Linked DNA regions of Rhinolophus ferrumequinum. The protein of the gene in region 1 interacts with the protein of each later gene in a biochemical or structural test. Links are inferred from orthologs where the notes say so. Each region holds a gene or a part of one and is shown in the gene's direction. Other genes may lie near its edges.

Evidence for each region.
Region 2: the proteins of RALGDS (region 1) and RAP2A form a complex in vitro, tested with the Homo sapiens proteins (2 studies listed by BioGRID). The link is inferred for Rhinolophus ferrumequinum from reciprocal best matches to the Homo sapiens genes RALGDS and RAP2A.

The regions. Positions count from the first base shown.
Region 1 is NC_046295.1:80,655,285-80,666,165, reverse strand, and holds the start of RALGDS (ral guanine nucleotide dissociation stimulator), read left to right. Parts: upstream 1-5,485; 5' UTR 5,486-5,532; coding exon 5,533-5,715; intron 5,716-10,881. UniProt on the Homo sapiens protein: Functions as a guanine nucleotide exchange factor (GEF) activating either RalA or RalB GTPases and plays an important role in intracellular transport. Interacts and acts as an effector molecule for R-Ras, H-Ras, K-Ras, and Rap.
Region 2 is NC_046287.1:43,436,037-43,447,292, forward strand, and holds the start of RAP2A (ras-related protein Rap-2a), read left to right. Parts: upstream 1-6,191; 5' UTR 6,192-6,321; coding exon 6,322-6,635; intron 6,636-11,256. UniProt on the Homo sapiens protein: Small GTP-binding protein which cycles between a GDP-bound inactive and a GTP-bound active form. In its active form interacts with and regulates several effectors including MAP4K4, MINK1 and TNIK.

The DNA.
Region 1 (10,881 bases):
GTGCCCCTTCTGCTTCTCTTCCTCTCCCCTCTCCTGCCCTCCACTTCGGGCTGTCGCATGTTGGATTGGTGGCCTTCAGAAATGTCAGGTTTCAGTGCCCGCTGGCATGTGGGGTACTGAGCACTTGGAGGAGTGGGGGACGGTTGTCAAAGCGGCCCGTCCCCACTCCATGGACGGTGTTTATCACAGTGACCCTGGACTGTGTGTTTGCTTCGAGAGTGTCTCCATCAACATCTGAGGGTAGAGTCAGCGGCCGTGAGCGCCTCTTTCCGGGGAGGACACCAGGCCCCCCAGTGAGCTCATGGCGTCCCAGTTCTGGGCCGTTTGCATGGCTCCGGGCGTTGATGTATCTTGTTCTGGTTGTCCTGGGACAGTCACGCCCAGTGAGGTCAGGGACTTGGGGTGATGTCGATGTCACACCCTCCACCCAGGATGGTCTCCAGAGGTTTGGAGGCTTTGTTTCCCGCCTCCTGACCACTTCTGGGCTCTGCGTCCTGCCTGTGGGGATCCTCTCCTTCCTTGGAGGAAGAGGAGGCCCCTGGCGGTTCCCAGAAACCCGGCAGCAGAGGAGGTGGGGCTAAGCCAGGTCCACCTGCTGTCCCAGGAGCTCCCACACTGGGCCCAGGTGCGTCACCTCCTGCCAAGGTGTGTGCGCACCCGCCCACAGAGGGTTGCCCAGGACTCAGGCAGGCCAGGAATGGTGACGTTGGTGTGGGGAAATGACCGCGGAGCCTGGCCAGGCCACACCCTCTGCCTGTCCTCCCTGGGCTTCTAAATATAGACGACAAAAGGCAGACAGACGGGGTGACCTCACCTGCTCAGAAAGAGGTGAAAGGTTTCCCCCAAGGCCTGACCCGAGTCTAGGTATCTGGCTGCTGGTCCTCACTGGGCCGCCAGCTCCCTCCGTGGGCTTTGGCCAAGCCCAGGTGGGAGGTGATGACCAAGGCCTGTGGTCACCCAGACATTGCCCGGAGCCCAGTTCTCTGTCCGAGCCACTTGTGTGCCTGGTAGACGTCCCCAGAGCTGCACCGTGGGCCCAAACCCCATTCCCTGGGACTCACCTGTGATGTACCAGGCCAAGGGGTGGGTGGGAGGTGGGAAGCATGGGCCAGGCAGAGGGGGCAGTGGGTGGAGGCCCGGGGGCGCCGCTACAGGTCAGTGTGAGCCCGGCTGGGCAGAGATGTGAGCTGGGCCTTCACCACGCATTTGCTCTTCTGCCTGAGGACAGTGCAGGGGGTGGGGGTGACAGGGAGGACTTTGAAGGGTCAAGACCTCTCTGGCTGTCTTGTGTCGGGGGGACCCCTGGTGGGATGAAAGTGGGAAGGAAAAGGGGCCCCAGAGGTTTGGCCTGAGCACACTAAGCCAGGAAGTGGTGGAAGGCCCAGTGGGAACTGTGGCAGACCCAGACAGGCCCTGGCTGGAGGGGACAGCTGCCAGTCAGCTCCTGCCCAGCCTCCTGCTGCGCGTGGGAATGCAGACCTTGTGTGGCCAGGTAGTCCAAAGTGACAAGAGCAGCCAGAAATGTGGATTTTATATGAAATCACCTGACCTTCTACTGTTGACTCAAAAATTGAAAAACACTGTGCTTGCCAAACAAAACACGTGTGGGCTGGATTTGGCCTGGGTCTCGTCCCTGGATGTCAGTTCACAGCCGGTCGTTTAAGCATCCTGTGTTACGAGTATCCCGACGGCCGGTGGGTCTTTACAGCACCGCCGTGTTCTCGGGGCTTCTTGTAACTCCCCAAGGAAGGGCTGGTGCACTCCACAGGGAAACGTTGGGAACCTGGGACAGTTGGGGGCAGGGTGTACTGTGAGCAGGATGAGGAGGAAAGGAGTGACACCAGTTAATAATGACCCCACACATCCTGTGGTGCTTTGTGCCCTCTGTTCCTCCCAGCAGACCCTCCAAGGGCAAACGTTGTCACAGCCTTGATCTTCAGACCCGCCCAAGGTCACTGGGGCTGTCTCCAGCACCATCTGAGCTGCGTGACTCGGTTTCCCAGCTGCCCACTGCCTCAGCCCCCACAGTGAAGCCCCCTGCCCCCTTGGTTGTAAGGATGCCGTGAGCGCCCACGCATGGGGCAAGGAACACGGGAAACGGTGAAGCGGGCCGGGTGTCAGTGCCATGGTCTGGGCTCACAGGCTGTTGCCCTCCCTCCTTGGCTGCTGGGAGCCTCAGAGGCTTCCGAGCGTGAGTCTCCAACTGTGTCCTTTTTCTTTTTTAACTTCTATTATGGAAAATTCCAAAGAGGCACACAAGTGGAGAAAATGGCAGGAGCCCCCCGCCCTGGCCCAGCTTGCTGTTCACATTGTGGGGCCACCTTATTTCTTCTCTAACTGCCCCGTGTCCTACTCTTCCTGCTCAGCGGGCGATGTTCACACAAATCCCTTCATTCCATCCATAAATATTCCAGTACGTTACTCTAAGAGTAACCTAAATCCCCATGATCGCACCCCAAAAATGATGTCAAGTATTGTCCAATATCCAGCAGGGTTGAAATAATCCCAGTTTTCCCTGAGGTTTTTTTTTTTAACAGTTGCCCTGCTCAAATCACAGTACAAAATCCACAGGTTGTATTTGATTGATGTCTCTTTTAATCTATAGTTTCCGCTTTATTTTTTGCTCCTGACGACCCTGGGTTTCTTCAGTTTGTCCTGGAGAGTCCCACGGTCTGGAATTTGTGGACTATATCCTCATGGTGTATTGATGTGTTCCTCTGTTCCCCGTAATTCCCCCAAATGTGGAGGCCTGGTTGGATTCATGTTTGGTCTGGGGCAAAATCACTGCATGTGTGGCTCTGTGTTCTTCCATCAGGTGGCAGGCACACACTGTCCTGGTCCCCTCTCTTTTGGACTAGCCCTGCCTGCCCTTGGTAAGGGATCTACCCCACAGCTTTGGGGGGTGGGGTGATGAGGGGAGGTGTGTGAGGGCTTGGGAGGGCCTTGCACGCAGAAGGCACCCCGTGAATCGCAGCCCCCGTTACTAACAGTGTGGGGCAGTCTGCCTGCCTGGGGGCGGTGGGCATCTGTGTGAGGTGCTTTACCTGTGCTGTCTCTGTAGTTATGCCCCCTTTACATAGGTGTATACTGTGCCTTGGAGGCGAGGTGACCTGCTGGGGGAATAGGGGTCACCCAGTAAGAAAGGGGTGGAGCTGGGTTTCAAACCCAGGCCTTTCAGTGCCTGAACCTGTCCTCTATGCCACACTGCTACCCTGGGAACTAGGGGTGTGTGTGTGTGTGTGTGTGTGTGTGTGTGTGTGCACATGTGAACCCAGATAAGCAGTGAGCAGGCTTACCAGGACCCCAGAGGGGAGCCCCAAAGCCAGAGTGAACAAAGCAGGGAGAGAGATTTTATAAAAACAGGCATTAACCTGAGGTTAGTGATTAAGTAAAGGAGACACCGCCATGCCCTCCATGACCTCCAGGTGGCCTCCAGATGGGAGGCAGCCCCGCTGGTTGTGTTGGGGTGTGGAACTGCCCACTGCTCACTCTCCAGCTGACCTGAGCCCCCCAACCCTGGTACCCTGGACCTTCAAGGCCAGAGAGGTGGTGACGTTGGGAGTGCTCCCTGTGCACTCTCGACTTGCTTGGCCTCCAGGGGCCCTTTTCCTGGCTGTAAAATGGGCCTGAGCTTGCTTTCCAGGCCCCTCCCTGGGAGAAAGAGATAAAGAAGGCAGAAAAGAGATAAAGTGAGCTACCCGCAGGTACTGGATTTACTTGGCAAATTCTCCCAGGAGGATTGGGAGAAGCTTTTAGCCAGAGGGCAGTGTCCTGTGTCCAGGTCACCCCTTGGTTGATCTTTGGGGAGTCCTTTTAAATGTGCCTCACCTACCTTACTCTCCCCGGGGGAAGGTCACAGAAGGTCCTTAAACGGCCTCCTAGGGATCCCCAAACCCAACCTACCCATCTTACTTTAAAAAAGCAACCAACCCCCACCCCCAGCATTTATGTGTGTGATTATAACTATTTTTGAAATAATAGAAAATTCAGAGAAGTGAAAAACACTGTATGGCAGCACCCAGAAAGAACCACGATGACTTTTGCAGAGTGGGTCCCCGTCATGCGCACGTGTGTAATGTCTAGTTCTGAAAGCGTATTCTGCATCTTGCTGTCTCACGTCGCAGTACAGCAGAAACACTTCCGGCATCACGGTTGGTCCAAGGTGTGCAGTGGCACCGAGGGGCCTGTCAGGACAAGGCATTTGAGTGGATTCGGTTGGGAACAGTTGTCATTGAGGTTTCCACAAACATCCTCATATAGAAATCCATGTCCACACCTCTGATTGTCACCTGAGGGTGAATTCCTAAGAGTGGGATTCTCAAGTTAAAGGGCATAAGCATTTTTAATGTCCTTAAAAGAAAACGGTAGAAATTGTTTTCCACCGCCCGCCGGTCCCCCTCCCCTACCCCGGGCCCTCCAGCTGCCCACGTGGGCCAGAGCTTGCCAGGGCTCCATGTCCCTGGATATCGGAGGTTTGGCACATGGTGGGTCCGTTCCGTAAGATATGTTTATGGAATGTGTAGTGTGGTCCTGCCCTCTCATCTTACAGGTGGGGAACAGGCCCAATGATATGGCACCAGTTCTGGGGCTGGCGGTGGCATTGCTAGGGCTGCTGACAGTAATCACCAGCCTCTGTGAGCGCTTCCTCCCCAGCCCTCAGCAGCCTCACTGGCACCCTCACCGGTGCCCTGAGACCTTGAGTGCTCAAGCCAGCGGTCCCCCCAACCAGGACAGTGGCAGGTGCTCCAGCTGGCATTTGCCTTCTTGATCCCTTACTCTTGAATGTCTATAGGCCCCAACCCCTATATGACTGGTCTCGGTTTTGCCCTCACCTCCCTGGCTGTAGGGCAGAAAGGAGATAGTACAGGCAAAGGCCCGTCCCCACACCACACACACCCCAACACTCAGGCCTTCCAAATGCACACGTGCACCGAAGTCACTGTTCCAGGACTCAGGAGAGTGTAGCAAGGCACAGGCACCAGCCGAGTGCTACACATCAGTAACCCAATGTGGCCCTCTCGGATGAAGAAACTGAGGCTCAGAGAGGTTAAGCAACTTGTACAACGCCACAGTGCTAGGGAGGGGCTTACCTGGAATTCGTGGGAGGTTGATCTGACTCCAGGGCCACCTGACCACACGTACACAAGTCACATACACAACACATACGCTGCCCCAGCGCACGCACCCACACAAGGTGCATAACCGCGGTACCCATAGTCCCCCCCCCCCCCCCCACACACACACACACACCACACACCACACACCACACACACCACACACGCTCTATAGGACACAGCCAGCAGGCTCGCGGGGGCGCCCACGCTCCCACAACACGCCCCCGGCATCTCCGGCCCCACCCCTTCACGCCGCCGGCCCCGCCTCCGAGGCGCCGGCCCCGCCCCCGGCCTGACCTCAGCGGGGCCGGGCGGCGGGCGCAGAGCGCAGGCAGCGCCGAGCCGCGCGGGCCTCTGCTGCCCGCGCCGCCTCGGGTCCCGCGGCCCGGCCGGCCGCCGGCGCCGCTGCGAGCCGTCCATGGTGCAGCGTATGTGGGCCGAGGCGGCCGGGCCTGCGGGCGGCGCCGAGCCGCTGTTTCCGGGCTCCCGGCGGAGCCGCAGCGTGTGGGACGCCGTGCGCCTGGAGGTGGGCGGCCCCGCCAGCTGCCCGGTGGTGCTGCACAGCTTCACGCAGCTCGACCCCGACTTGCCCCGCCTGGAGGTGAGTGAGCCAGGTCGGCCTGACCCCGCGGCCCAGCGTCCTGATCGTTTGGGGGGAGGGTCCTTCCGCAGAAATCCCCCTCGCTGTAACCTTACGGCAGCAGGTGGGCGTGGGGGCCGCCGGCACAGCGGGTGCAACAATGTAGGGACCAGAACCGGGTCTTTGTGACCCTATTTATCCGTCCCAATGCCTACCCTCACCGATCCCAGGTGTGCTGGCCTCGTGCCCCTGCAGCCCAGGTAGACCTGTTTCCGCGGGCTGTCACTGTCTGTTTAGGGCTGTGAACTTCCCGACATTAGGGGCTGGGCCATATTTCATCTCCATTGCCAGTCCCAGCCTGCACGGGCAGTTAGGCTTCGCAATCAGGTGGCGAACTGGTAGGGTGGCAGAGTCCTAGAATCCTCAGAGGGCTGGGGACCACAGTGGCCTTCCAGACGGCTCCACTTTGGGGTCAGACTCGGACTGGATGTTCAGGGCTGTTCAGAGGAGGTGGGTTGGAGGCGGAGCAGGCCTCCAACCTGTGGGGCCAGGTGTCCAGGCTGGAAGGTTGGGACAAGGCCCTCTCATGTCTGGATGGGGTGACTGACTCATTTCTGCTTGATTAGAAAATGAATTTGTAAGGATTTGGGAGGATTCAGAGAAGGGGGGATGTGTCTGTCACTAATGGAGGTGGGGGTAACTAGATGAGGGCTGGGACTCTTTCTAGTGTGCTCTGCACAGTGAAGCCCAGTGGGTCATGGGGGCAGGCAGGTGGGGCCGGGAGTGGTGCCTTCCTCCTCCTGCCTGACTGTGCACCTGACTTCAGAGGTAGCAGATGCAGGATGGACCCTGTCACCCTGCCCTGCCTGGGCATGGGGCCTGGACAGGCCAGCCCCGGGTTGGGGGCTCAGCAGGTCAAGGCCGAGCCAGAGCCTTAACAGTGAAGTTCCTGAGCCCCCGTGCTGGTTAGGGCCCCTTTGGTGTCCCCCCCCAGCCCTTCACTTTAGGCCCCCATGTGTTGTACTTGCCAGCAATTTTCAGCCTGGTTTTGTGCCTCTGCATGTCCCTAGGGCCTGGATGCATATTTGCCCAAGGATAAAGTGTGTCTCCCTGCCCAGCGTGGGGCCAAGGCAAGGGGTTGGAGGGCGCTCTTGGTGAGGGAACTGCAGGACTGGGAGACCCTTTTCTCCTGAGCTGGGCGGGTGGCCAAGCCCCGCGTGTTCCCGGACCCTCATCCACCCACTGCTCTGGCTTTCATTGGCAGCTGGAGCAGACCCCTGGGAGGCCTGACACCAGCCTAGTACTCATCTGACTTTCATTATGTCTGGCAGCCAGTCGGGCTTTGTGTGTTGGGAGGGTCCGGCCTACACGCTCACAGGGGCCGGGCAGGTTCCTGGCCAGGGTGGGGTGAGCTGTTTGGCTCACTTCTCTCCCTCCCCCCCACCTCTCTGTCCATCTGTCCATCCCTGGGGACCTGAGGGAGAGCCCTACCCTTGCCCAGGGGTCGCCTTCTCTCTCCTTCCCCTCCCCCCGCACCCTCCTGCTGCTCTCCCTCACCCGGCCTCTGCACTAGATCCAGGCCATGGCCACTGTTTAGAAATCAAAGGGGAAGCTTCTGGCTGGGGCAGGAAAATCAGGGTCCTGGCAGAAGAGGAGGCCAGTGCCGGAAATCAAACACAATGACCATTTACTATGGGCCGGGGGAGGAGGGCAGGGGGGCGGGGAAGTCCCTGTCCCTCCTGCCAACACCTCCCCCACCCCCCCCACCCTCAATCCTGGGGCTGATTTCCTGGTCGCTGTAGCGTGCCAGAGCTGAAGCAGCTCTGCTTGTGGTCCCTGTCCTCTCTGGAAACCACCAGGCAGTTACTGCCTTCTCTCCCCTGTTCCCCATTTTCCTTCCAATCCTCTCTGGGCTGCCAGATGTCCTTGCACATCTGGGCATCCACTCCTGTCATCTTGATTCTAAGCCAAGCCACCACTAACCCAGCTTGGCCTGTGCAGTTCTGTGCTTTCTGGCGGTCACCTGGCCCATGCCCCCATCTCTAGACTGGCCACTGCCTTGACCAGGCAGTTCCCAAGTCTGTAGCACCTAATTTTGGACACCACCAAATAATTTGCGGACACCACCACCTCATTCCAACTGGCTTTGACCAACCCTCCAGAGTGGGTGCCAACCCCCTTTATAGGAGACTGGAGCTCCGAGAAGTGAAGTCTCTGATCTAAATGTATGCACAGCCAAGGACACAGGATTGGGAGGATTTGAACATGGGCTGTGTTCTCTGTTAGGCGCCTGCTGTGTGCAAGAGCCCACAGGAATCAGAGAAAGATCACTATTGGGGTAATTTTAGGTTCACCAGAGGACTGTGGAGCTCTGGGGGGCACAGAACCAGGCCCAGGCAGCCCAGAAGCCCCCGGTCAAGTGAGGGGTTGGGATGCTTATAGACCAGAGGAAGACAAAGTGCCTTGGGCTAGAGGACACTGGGGAGAGCTTCCAGGAAGAAGCAAGTCCACAGCTGGACCCCAGCGGTTTACAATAATAGCTCACATGAGCCAGCACTTTGTGGGAGGCCTTGTTCTAAGTAATTTGCATGCATTATGTCCTTTTGTGGTCAGGACTATCAATAGCCCATTTGACAGATAAAGCAACTGAGGCACGAGAGTTAATTAGATTGTATCACCTCACTAAGCTGGTAAGTGGCAGAGGTGGAATCCTGACCCAGACAGTGTGCCTGCAAGGCCTGAACGAAGAGGTGGATCGGAATGAGGAGGGCTTCTCTGTTCTTTGGGTGGAGAATCGCAGGGGAGTCTCCCTCCAGCCTCCCGCCTCCTTCCCGGTTGTCTGGTCTCTTGATCTTACTATGTGCAGGTCTTCAGTTTAACCCCCAGGGCTTTTGACCCTGGAGGACTGAGAGGCATGGCCTAAGGGTGTGTGTGTGTGTGTGTGTGTGTGTGTGTGTGTGTGTGTGTGTGTGTGTGTATTTGAGAAAGAAAGAGAGAGAGATTGAGAGAGAGAGAGAGAGGGCCGCGGGCTCCCCTCCTGTCTTGCTCCTCAGGGGCCCAGGAGAAGGGGTGGGCACCCAGCTGGCTGGTACTGAGTGGCAGACGCTTGAGCACGCTGTCTATTTCCTGTAGGCTCAGTGAAGGCGCTGGAGCAGGAGTGGGTGGCGGGGAGATGCGAGATTGCTTTGGGCAGGATGCGGGTCCCATCTCCAACCTGGAAGTTAGGTGTTTCCAAGCCCTGCCTTCAGTGCCGGTGAGGGAGGGGGATTGGTGTCGGCCGCCTCTGAGCAAGCCACTGGGGGCGGTTTCAGGAGGCTGCACCCAGGCCGTTGAGGTCTGGCTCCCAGGGGCTGCTGGCTGGCCGCCCAGACGGCTCCCATGGCGTGGCACCATGCTGTGGCTACTCTGTCCCAGGCTCAGGCCTCCAAGGCCTTGCCAGCCAGGAAACACCGTGTTCCTGGACACACAGCTCCAGTGAAGCGACTCCCCAATCTGATTCTGAGGCTCTGGGAGTTGACACCTGCAGCCCAGAGCAGAAGGCCGGCCCGTGGCTGGGGAGTGAGCAGATAGCTGCCAGGTCGCCCGCAGGGTGAGCTGGGTGGGAGCACCCAGCGTGAGGGCCTGAGTTTGGGGAGCACTGGGTGTGGTGTTGCTTTGCTGTTTTTCTCTCCTCCCCGGTTAAGTGTCAGATGCTTACACAACCTGCTCTGTAGTCTCGCCTAGAGGCGTAATGTTGTTCTTTTGAACCGAGGGGCAGAGTCAAGTATGCTGGTCAGAGCTTGGGCTCTGGGGTGCCGACAGCTGTGCTGGACTGCCAGCTCGGCCCTTGCAATCCTAGACCTGCCCCTGCTTCCTGAGCCTCGTTTTCCTCTTCCGTAAAATGGGCCTGATGCTAGTTCCTCCACTTAGGGTTCTGGTGAGGACGGAGTGAGACAGGTGGCCGGAGAAGCAGTCCCTATAATGCCTTGCACAGCGTTAGCCGGACAGGCGGTGGCTGCCACAATTGTGTTTTCTGACAAGGTGCCAGGGGAGTGCCCGTGTCCTGGGCTCCCAGTCAGCGTGCCGCTTCCCAGGTCTGGTTCTTATAGCTGATCTCGGGGCCCATGGGTGCCCTGGCCATCCCCTCTCAGTAGAGCGGTGCAGGTACAAGGGAGCTGGGCCTGCCACCCCCGACTGGCGGTGCGACCTGAAGAAGGCCTTCCCATCTCTGGTCTCTTTCCTGCATCTGTGTGACCAGGGGCTGGACTCTGTTCTGAGGCTGTGACCGTGGCAGGCACTGTGCTGCGAGGCCCAGAGTGTCTCCATAGGTCATGAGAGTCACAGGCCAGGGTTCTAGTCCCTGCCCCAGCTGCCACTTCCTGGCTCGACCTGGGCGAGATCCCCACCCGGCTCTTTCCTCATCCATCAAGTGAGATGTTGGGAGGATTAACTGTGATGAGTGTGCCAAGGGCCTGGCATCCAGGAAGTGCCCACACGTGCTGGACACTGTGGTCTGTGGTGTTGCTCTTGGGGCTGGACCTTCAGCTGGCCCCACCCTGCACCCCCCCAGGGACCAGGCCGTCCTCCTCCTCAGCTCTCAGCAGCCACACTCCCTCGCAGGCCTGGCCCTTGGTGGTCCGCCGGCCTGGCGGTCAGGAGCCGGTCCTGGATGGACAGGAGGTTGGGTGGTGGGCAGGGCCAGCCTCGAGGTCGGGTCTCCCCTCCCCACCTGCGGCACATTTCACTACCTGGGTTCACACTGGCAGAGAGAGCTCTTAGGGAGATGGGTCAGCCTCTCTGGGGGCTCAGTAGTTCCCAAACTCCAGTTTCTGGGGTCCCTGAGCTTCCTGGTTGCCCTAGAAACCAGACACTATGTGTGGTCCCTTACCAAGGCCGCCTCTGTGGGCTGTGGTGTGGCTGGGGACCAGGTCATTCTAGGGCTGACCTCAAGTCCCCAGCCGGGTCCTGTTCGTGTCCTTGGGCTCAAGGTATAGGACACCTACCTGCTACACACCAAGGGTCACACGTGTTTGGCATTTTCATTCTCCCTGCCTTGTTGGGCTTATGGGCTAAGAGATGAACCAGGATCGGACTTGAGAAGTCCCAGTTCTCGCCTCAATCTGGACACTGCTTGACCATCTCCCCTGGGCCTCTGTCTCCCGCTCTGTAAAATGGGTGCATGACTTTGTGTTCACACTATCCCGGGGC
Region 2 (11,256 bases), on another chromosome or scaffold:
ATGCCTACTGTAGCTTAATTTTTCAAAACTATTCTTATATTTGTACAGAAAATAGCATTAGAAAAACTACTACAACCACATTTGGCCAGAAACCACAAAATGTCTGACAAATTTCTGATTTTTATTACAAGTATTTATTATCATTGCTATACTATTATATTTGGCACATCTGTTTTATTTCCAAAATGTGTCACTAATCTGTAACTTATTATTCCTTATAGCTTTTTTACTGAAAATATTTTTCTATGGCAAGGTTTAAAAAGGTATTCTAGGGAAAACATTTTAAATTACATATTTACCAAAAAGATTACCTTTACATATTACTGGTCTATTGAAATTTTTCTTTTCAATCAAATTCTATTCATTCTTACATAACATATGTCAAAAATAGCAACCATAAGCAAAAAATTTGTTCCTGCCTGTCTCCTTTTTTGCTTCTCTTCATTTTTCTTCCAACTTCTGTTTATGAAAGTTTGAATCCCTCCTTCTTGAGGTCCTCAAGCCCGTAATTAATTCTATGACAATTCTCACATGATGCCCAGATTACAAATTATTCATTATTTTGAATAATGCCTTAATTTCAAATGTACCCTTGAACTCTACTTTTTCTTCTCTATTATTTTCCCAAGATTGTTATACCTTTTATAATCTTTCTTTGAGACTTTCAGTTTCTGATTATTTCCCTCATTGTTCTTTTTTCCATAGAATGTCATTGCTACAAGGAATTAAAGAATGAAGTGATTTTGCATTTCCCTTATTTCACTCTTACTTCATTCCTACCTTCTTCCTTTGCTCATTTGGTTCTTTATATCTGGAGTGCTCCCATCTGCCCCATTAAGTCTATTCTTTGGCCACTTCTTTCAAAACATGGCTTCACATTAATTTCCTTCAGACAGTTTTCCTTCACTAAAGCCACTCCCATTTACTCCCTGTATCTCTTGACCTCTAGGAATTCATGTATAAACTATACATGATATTATAACGTACTTGGTAAGTTTTTGTAATTTTATTGTTATTTAGTTATATATTTTGTAATATTTTATTTATATTTTTATCATACACCCTTGTAAGCTCTGATTTTTCCTTATTAGCAGTAATTATACCTGTTATTACATAATATAAATGTGTAATCAATTGCCTAATGTCTGCCTCTTATATTTATATTATCTATATCTCCTGTTAGAATGCAAGCACTTTTGGCAAGCCCTATTTTGTTGTATCCTCAGAGCCTACAATAACATACATAGTAAGTGTTCAATAAATATTATGTCTTTGAAATACCACTCAGGATATTAGTAGAATGAAAGCGCTCACAAATGCTTGCTGATTTTTTAAACACCATTTTGTCTTAAATCTCTCACACTTTTTGTAACAGTGGGAGGTGTCTAACTGCAAAATGCAAAAAAACCTAATGGACTTAAACTAATGGGCTTAAATCAAAAGACACTAGCTATTTACTTAGCCATAGTCCAAAGGTGGGCATTTCTAGTATTGATTTGACAGTTCAATATTGTCAGCCAAGATCTAGGTGCTTCCCATCCTTCTCCTTAACCATCCAAAGCTTGTTTGTTTTCAACCTCAGCCATAAGGCTTTACAGCCCAAAGATGGTAGCCACATTCTCATTATTTCAAAGTACAAAGCAGAAAGCAAGGCAGGTAACGTCAAAAAACGGAGACAGCTACTCACTCTTGTCAGAATCCCAGAAATCCCCGATCCCCAGCTGCCTTCTTCCCCTTCCAATGGCAAGAATTGAGTCATATACCTACTTTTGGACTAACCATGGACAGAGGTGAAGCACTGCCATTAACGATCTATCTTGATTCATCAGAGTTTTCTTTTTTTTCTTTTTTGGCAAAAAGAAAGGGAAATTAAATTGCTGGATATGCAAGCAACATTGTGTCTGCTCTTCTGCTATGTTAAATGAACCACACTAAAGCTCCAGTTTCCTCAGAACCTTTGAGTCCGTAAGAGTCTCCTGGCCTTTTCTCTCTTAATATTTTAATCATTAAACCTTTTCCTTCAGAAATTTTTTTCTGCTTAAAATCGCCCACTGAAACATTTCTCAGCTAAAGGGTTCTTTCATTCACTTGTTTACATACTCACTTAATTTCTGTTTTCTAATTCTTTTTCTTTGCAAAAGTGCTGGGATGTATCATATTTTCAAAATGGAAGCACATTTATTTTGGCCCTTGCTTTCCACTCTTCATGTATACTTGGGTTTCTGGACTGTATTAGGAACCTCAGAGGCCAAGAAAATGTCTCCTGCTCTCTTTATAATTGCCAACATCATTTCATAGGTGCTAAATGTACTTGATTGTCCTTCCTCTTTACAGTTAATCAGAGATATATAGGCTTTAATAGGAAGCAATAGGAATCACAATCTTATAGCCAAGCATCACTGGTCATATTACAAACATCCTTTACTAATTTGTTTATATTAAATTCTTTGCATACTTGCTTCTTGCTGTCATCAGAACATCCCAGAACATGGTATATTTCATTCCACCTTTACCAACATCTTTCACAGAAGCAAAGAAAGGAGCTGGGTTTCCATGGTAACACAAGTGTGACAGTTGAGGGTATCTGGGCATAAGTGAGATAACTCTCAGATTCACTGGGGAGAAGAGAAATCAAGTTTTTCTTTCTTTCTTTTTTATCTCCCAGCAATGCACTTCTGAAGCTAAAGAGACCCTGAAGTGTCAGTGTACAGGGCCAAGTTTTCACTATCATACAGATTTACAGCTCTTAGGAAAAATTCTATTTCACTTTATCTCATTTTTATTTTGTCTTTCTCATAAACAAACGAATGGAGACATAGTTTTTTATCCCTAAAATCACTGTCAGAATAGATAGTTCATGCTGGGAATGAGTAAGAGATCAGGAGACCCAGCTTCCACCCAAATCTTCAAAATTCTCTACACATCCTGATATCCTTTCTTACAGCAGCTAATCCTTCAAACAGCATTTCACATACAGCCTCAAATCAAGTACCACCATCCACAACATGTGAGAAATATGCTCCTACGCATGTTTCTTTTCCCTCTTCATGATTAAAAATCTTCTTTTATGGCAGCATTGAGAATGAAAATCGAGGCCTGTCAATAAGAGACATATAAATGAGGTGTAATTACCCCAAGACCTAGTCTCTACAGTTCTCACCAAGAAAGTCAGCATTGATGAAAGATCTAGGAAAATAGCCTCAGAAATGCCAAAAAGCCCTCTCATTCTCTATTTGCTAAGTAGAGTGACCAGGGAGCCAAATCACTATTGTGTGTGTGTGTGTGTGTGTGTGTGTGCGCGCGCGCGCGCGCGATAACTTCTATCAAATACACTCCATCCAGAGCTTCTCAACTTCTAGAGTCTTACAAAATGAAAACAGTTGCTTGAGGTTACATTCTGGACCCACAATCCCAGTGCAAAGTTCTATTTTAAAAAAAAATTCAATGGACCTTTATTCCCTGCAAAGTGTATGATTTTTCAGCTCCACTTAATGCAAGGTACTACACAGGTGGTAATGGTCTATACAAAGAGAAAGTCTGATGCTTCTTGGCTCTACTGATCCCCCCAACAAGCTAGGAAGTTCTTACCACCACAACACACAATTTGGATCTTAAAAGAGACAGTCTGTCTTTCCTCTGAAAGAAGCGTAGCTGTTACTAAGAGAAAGTAACCACAAATAAGGGTACAAGTTTTATACAAAATGTGAGGCTTCTAAAAAGCTAGGTGAACACTCTGTTCATCTACAACATTCTCTTGAAACATCCCTGCCAAAAAAGCTCAGATATGAAGTTTCACTTATCGATATTTCACTTATCATATCTATGTGAGTTCTCTTCATTTTAATTCATTTATTTACATTACTAGTTTAGAATGAGATATCAGATCCTCTTTGGTTTCAATTGTCTTAAAACATTCCTCTGATTGTTAGTTCTTTTGCAAATTGCCTTCACTGCTAATTCTGGTAGCTTAGATACCTCTCCTTTTTTGATGATATGTAACCAAGAAATAATGATTGAATAATATTTTACTGCATATTTTGACAGGACACTTGCCCTCCATTGTTTAAAAACAAACTTGGTATGTGTTATACTATAGCAAGGTAATGAAAATGTAAGTAATCCGTTCTAACATAATGGAGCAACAAAGCTGTAGGACACTGCTAAATCTGAGTACGTCTTTGTAGTAGTCTGATAATTGACAGAAAAGATGGTAAAAGAACACCTGGTTTTTCAAGGATCTCAGACCAAAATCCTCTCTACATGATGATCTTCTGGAGCAGAGAAAGGGTAAAGAGGTATGCCATCATCAAACATTAGAACTACAGAAATTTATTATTCCCAAGAAATGTGAGATGGTAATGAATGGATGTAGAATAGTTCAAGAACGACATAGTTTAAGGAACATAAATCCAATAACCAGTTATTACAAAATATCCAGAAACGTTTGGGGATATAACCCCTCCTAAATTTGACGTTATGGGTGGGAGAGACTGTGTAACTAAGATAATGCTAAAGAGTTAACAGAACGATAAAGTTTTAAAACTCAGCTGTTAAAAATGTTTAAAGAGGCACGCACGGAGGACCCGTGCAACTGCTGCAGTATTTAGGAACCGGGAAATGTCTCACCTAAAGACAAAAGTCTCTGTTTTCTCGATTCATCCCATGTATCCCTCAGCACTATTTGTATGCCCATCATCTAGGCAGAATGCCACGGGGACAAAAGTTAAAACCGGAATTCATCACTTTTGTCTGAAACACATCTTGTTCCCTTGCCTGAATAAGGCTCAGCGACCGGCCCCTCAATCTCTGACCCCTCCCAAACCCCACCAGCTCGGCTCCTGCTTCCATACTACCTGCCCTTGGTGGCAAGGACATCGCGAATTCTGGTTGGCTCAGTTCAAGCCTTCGTCATTCTTCAGCTCACCTACGATTGGTTGGCAGAGTGTGCGCAGGAGCAAACGCCCAGCTGGCCCAGGCAGTGGGAGGTGTGTTGGCTTATCCTGCGACTAGAGTTTTTCCCCATTGGCTGGTGGATGGGTGTCACGTGGTTATGAAGGGGCTCTCTTTGGTCGAGAATGGTACCATCGGGTCCAGAGACATGGTCTGGTTGGCTGGAATGAATCCCAGCTCCCTACTAGGTCCCCCAGCGGGCTGTTGCTATGACCTCTCCCCCGGCCCTCTGCTGCGGTTCGGGACTCCGCGCTCCCGGTTTTCCAAGTACCCATAGCAGACAGGGCGTGGGAAGAGCTCCACTACAGTCTGGCACTAAAGACGGGCGGGGGTGGAGGGAAGGTGGGCGGGACTCCTGGCGACGTCACCGGGTTGGGTCCGGCTTCCACAGTCTCTGGCCTTCACCGCCTCGAGCAGTGGGCTGCAGAGGCCTGTCACCTCTCACTCAGTGTCCTGATACTGAAAACTAAGCTTCATTTGGTTGTGTTTATGCTCGGACCCTTAAGCAAAGCTTCTCGTTCTGTGTATACAAGATAAAACCAAAGCTCTCAGGAATGTTGACAGCCTGGGTGGTGTCGGGCAAGACCCTCATGTCAAGGCCTCTTCTTGGACCTTGGCCGTCTCTTTTTCTGACTCCTCACTCCAGAGATTGCTGCAGATCGTTCTGCTCCTTTTAACATCTTGTCTCTGCCAAATTCTGAGCGTGGGATTCTCAGGTTGATGCGGTTCCCGTCTCAGGCGGAAAAACTGCGCATGCTCAGATGCAGTGACTGGGGTTCGACGGAGAGTGCGGGGTGGGGTGGCGTTGGGTGGCCAAGGTGGTTGTTTATCCAAGCCGGGGCAGAGGCTTCCGCGCTGCGCAGAGCCTCCCGGGAGCGCGCGAGACTGGTCGCCTAGGCGACTGGGGAACAGGGGCGGGGCTGCGCCCCGGGGCCCCGCCCCGGGTCGCCGGGCCCCGCCCCCGACAGCGCTGCGGCTCAAACGCCGGCTGGGGTGCGCGCTACGGCGCCGGAGAAAGCGGCGGCGGCGGCGGCCGCAGGAGGGAAGCTGGGCGTGGAGGCGTGAGGGGCGGGGCTGGCGGGCAGCACTGCGGGCCCGCGGCTCGGGCGGCTCGGGCGGCTCCGGCGGCTTCCATTCGCTGCTCGTCCTTAGTTCCTGCCGGCACCCGCGGGGCCGCATTGCCGCCGGGATCGGTCCATGTCTTGGGCCGCTGCTCCCTCCGCCGGCGCCCGGGGGGCCGCGACGGCTGTGAGGTGGGGGCGGCCGCGGAAGGCAGCGGTGCCGGCCGCCGGGGCAGGGTCCGAGAGCTCTGCGCGGCGGGCGTAGGTCTATGTCGCGGGCGGCGGTGGCGGCGGCGGCCGCGGAGGGACGATGCGCGAGTACAAAGTGGTGGTGCTGGGCTCGGGCGGGGTCGGCAAATCCGCCCTGACCGTGCAGTTCGTGACCGGCACCTTCATCGAGAAATACGACCCCACCATCGAGGACTTCTACCGCAAGGAAATCGAGGTGGACTCGTCGCCGTCGGTGCTGGAGATCCTGGACACTGCGGGTACCGAGCAGTTCGCGTCCATGCGGGACCTGTACATCAAGAACGGCCAGGGCTTCATCCTCGTCTACAGCCTCGTCAACCAGCAGAGCTTCCAGGACATCAAGCCCATGCGGGACCAGATCATCCGAGTGAAGCGGTGAGAGGGCCGGGGGCGCGGGCAGCGGGGTTCGCGGTTTAGCCGGCAGCCACCGTCCCGGGGCCAGATCTCCCTCCCCGTGCTCTGGGGTGGCCGTGGACAGGGGGAGCTATCTAGGGACTTGGCTTTGGGGTCTTATGCTTTATAATAATTTTTCTTTTTGCCAGCATCACCATCATCATCATCTTGAATCTCAAATTTTAGTGCTTTGTGTCACAACTCAAATTTGGCATCCCGTGGACCACAGCACAGCGCTTTTGTCTCTTGGATATTATTAGTAGCGCTTGTGGCAGAGCCTCGAAGGAAACAAAGTTTAAAACTTGGAGGCAGGGTGAGGAGTGGGTAGGCTTGGGTTAGGGAGAGGGTGGCTGTGCCTGTATAGTGGAGACATTTTCAGACTCAACAACAACAACAGAAATTTGTCTTTACAATATTTGACAGCAAAAATCGCTCACACATGTACCTACTGTAAAAATGTCAAATCGAGAGGAAAGAGACTTTTCTCATCTCATGAAAGATTGAATGGTGCCAAGGCGTTTTAGAAAAATGAACTCTGCAATTAAGATGAAACTTTAAAGACAGATTATCGAATTATTTGAAGACATCATAACAACTTAGTGGGGCTGAGAGAATATTAGCATATAGGGGTACAAATATGCCATTCACATTAAAGAATGCGGTTTAACTTTTTCTTTGGAAAGAAAAAATAGGCATTCTTGCAAACAAAACAAGTTTCTTCAAAGCTATAACTTAAGTATATTATCAGATGTAAAGTTAATGCATGATAAGCTCTTTTCTAATATAAACTCTCTTCTAAAGTATACGTTTTGGAAATATGGCTGGTAGCTTAAATGGCTTAAAAATGTTTGTTTTCTCTTATGTTGAGTATTTTTCCATATTTCAAGCGTTACAAGTGTAACATATTATCTTACATCAAAGTTTTAGCAAATTTTTCTAATGACTATTTAATTACACATTACAGTTTTGTCTGGTTCTTATAATTAGTTAATAATTGCTAATAATTTTGATTAGTGTCATTTTCTTTCTCCAACATAATCCTACCTATGGCCCTAAATTGGAAGACATTTACAGAAATATAGTTGTAAGTGTATTTTAGACACAATCATGTTACATGTAGGTTTGAGACTACTCATTAAGAACAAGGACCAAGTCACGTGTACTCAGGGGGTACTCAAAAACGCATTACCTGAAGTGGATTTTTAATGAACATACGAGATCCAAGGGAGGTCCTTTCCCCATGGCTCCTCCTTAACTCATTGAATATGCACTGTAATAGCTAAACTAAAATTTTGTATATTATTTTTTCCATTAAGTTTCAAACTAGAATAAAGTGGGTATTTTCATGGCCTCTGTAGCTTTTCTAAGATCTGTGAATCTGGTAGCTTTTACTTCTCCAGCTTCATTTAATAATGCCTTTTATTTAAACCTACTGTATCTAAAAATATATAATCAACATTTAAAAATTATTGACGTATTTTACTTTTTCATACTAAATTTTCAAAATCTGGTGTGTAATTTACAGTTACAGCACATCCCAATTCAGACTAGCCATATTTTAAGTGCTCAGTAGCCACATGTGGCTGCAGGCCACCATATTGGACAGCAGATGTCTAAAGTGTATATATTTTGAGGAAATGCTTGTGTCTTTAAGCCTCAGTTTCCTTATCTGTGAAATAGAGTATAACATGCACCTCTTAGAGTCTTTTTTAGGATTAAGTGAGATCATGTATTCTAAGGTGCCCGACATAATACCTTGAACAAAGAAATTGCTCCAAAATTCCAGCTGTTGTTTTATTAATAATAACTTTGTTACCCTACCCTCTTTAAAATGATTCTTAATATAAATGTAATATTAGAGGAAATAAATTTGTGATTGCATTTTGAAATTCATTATCTAGTGTAGACAAGATGAGATTAAATAGCAATTAGGATTAAAACAATCATTGGAAAAATTTTGTTGGTGTTCTTAAAGTATTTTCCCTTAATAAGGATCTTATGGGAAAGGGCAGGAAAATGAATATTTAACTTCAAGTCTAGCACTAATGTATGGCCAAACAGTGAAACGGAGCTTTTCATTGGATTGTTATTGTATAGAATGTTTTGCTTTTAAAAAATATAAAACAGGCCCATACTCCCTTAAGTATTTACAGGTACACAGACATACACAACCTCTTGTCAAAGCTATGTGGGCAGGAAGATGGTTGTAAGTTGTAACTGAAAATGACTGTATTTATAAATTCATATGCTCAATTTTTTTAACTGGACTTTGAACAATATCACACAGGTAAGAGTAATAGGGATACAGAAAATGTTTCAAGTGAAATAAAACTAGTATTCTTCCTGATTTCATAATCTCTTCTCTCATTCCTCTCAGGGCAAGCCATGGTTCTGACTTGAAGTACCTTGCAATGTGCTAGTCAAGTTCTGTAGTTCTCAGGATAAAAGCCCAGCAATCTTCAACTTGACCTTCCCAGGAGAAGGTGCTCTTGTCCAACCTCCCTGCCTTGGTAACCTCACCTCTTGCAATCCTCTTCAATGTCTTAGATTCCAGCACCCAAATCTCTCAGTCTCTTGAAAGTGCCTCTCTCTGAGCTTCCCTTCTACCGGTGGAAATCATCTACCCTTCTTTAGAGTTAATTCCTACTCACTCTTTTGCCCTTGCTTGAAAGGCTTACTGCTCCGAGGAGCCTCCTCCCCAACTGAATTAGCTCCTCCCCAGCTTCCCACACTAATTAACTTCCCGCCACACCCCTTTTCTCAGCCACCTGTACTTCAGACTTAAGTGACACCCCGCTTCCCTCTTCAGATAGCACTCGTGAAAGCCTTATTATTTGTGTGATAATTTACATGCGGTTCGTCTTTCTCATTAAACTCTAATCCCATGTGACTAGAATAGTTCCTGGTATATAGGAAACAATCAAGGAAAATACGTTAAAAAGAACGAGTGTTCAGAAAGAAAAGTATTTTTATTGTCCTTTGGCTTCAGTTTCCCCAACCATTTTAATTTTCTAGATGGAAGAGATGATTCTTTAAACGACATTTTGCAGGTGGAGTAAATGATCTTCCTTCAGCTCCAACATTCTTTGAGAGTTCTTCTATCTAGTTGGGGCAGTGGGAAGAAGTAAAGTTTAGTATGAACCTTAAAAAGTTAGGAGCACATTGTCTTCCAGATGGAAGAAATGGCATGGAAATGCATAAGATATGTTTGTTAGCTGTTAAATAGACCAGATTGGCTAAACCAGGAATTTATATGAAGGGTGAAAGGAGGTAAGGCTAAAAAATGTAAAGTTAAATTATAGAAGGTTAAAGAGTTTGGACTTGATCTTAGTCAAGGACCATGATCAAAATTGTTAGAAATAGTAATGTGGTGATTCGGTTTAGTGGCAGTAGACCAGAGTCCGGAGGAATAGTTGTGAAATATTATGATAGTCTAGTTCTGTATAAAGATTCTGAATTAGCATGGTGTCTGTAGGGACAGAAAGGAAAGCATGGATGCAAATAATGTTATAAAGAATGAGTTAATCAAATCGAGTGGGAGGGAAAGGTCAAAAGTAACCTTGACATTTTGAACATGAGTGAATAGAGTTATGGAAGAATAGCTGGGGGAGATTGTTTTAGCTTTGGAGATGGTAACCATCCAGATCGATACACCTAATAAGTAATTAGAATATTTGAATAAAGCCTGAAACATCAGTTTATGTATAAATAATCTACATAGTTCAGATTTAGAGAGTTGATGGAATCTTTTCGGTAGAGTATAGAGGGATGGAGATGAATGGATATGGCCAGGAATAGAAATTAGAAATTAATATTGCCAAGGATAGAACTTGAGAGTTATACTCGTAAGATATATAGAGGCTTCATACTTTGCAATAGGCTAGAAAGCATGGGACTTTTTAAGACTAGGAAAAAGATTGTGGAAAGGGTTGTTGGTTTGCACTACCCAAAGTAAATAAGTTGCTATTTATTATTATTATAATTACTATTACTTTCATTACTATTACTAATATTTCTATATCATTTAAGTGATCACTTTCAAATGACCTAAATGACAATTTGTACTTTTTCTCCTTGTAATAAGTAGCCATATAAAAACCTCTAAAATAGAGGCAGGTTGCTAATTGCTACACATCAATCTTGACCCATAACATATTGGTGCTATGAGACAAAACCAGAGAACACATCAAGTGATGTCTCTCCCAAGTAAGTGAAACTTCTGGATTCTGCCGTGATTCCTTCCTCCACAAACACCTCCTTCCCCAATTTGACACCTCCGGGAACCAAAATTGTAATCAGAATCTGGGCCTCCAAGGCACAGCCTAATACCTAGCTATAAATCACTTTTTATATCCCAAAGTTTTTTTCTGAAAGGGAAACTTGTTTTTGCTGCATTGTAAAACTAGAAATTACAATATAGCTTTCTTTTTTGCCATCCCAGGATTGGAATTTTTAAATTTCACTTTGCAGATGGAGTAGACGATTTCCAGTTCTAACATTCTGTGAGTACTTCTAGCTAGTTGGCTCAGTGGTAAAATTTAATATGAACCTTGAAGAATCAGCAGCCTGTGATCATGCAAATCTTGTCTAGTTAAGATTTGGT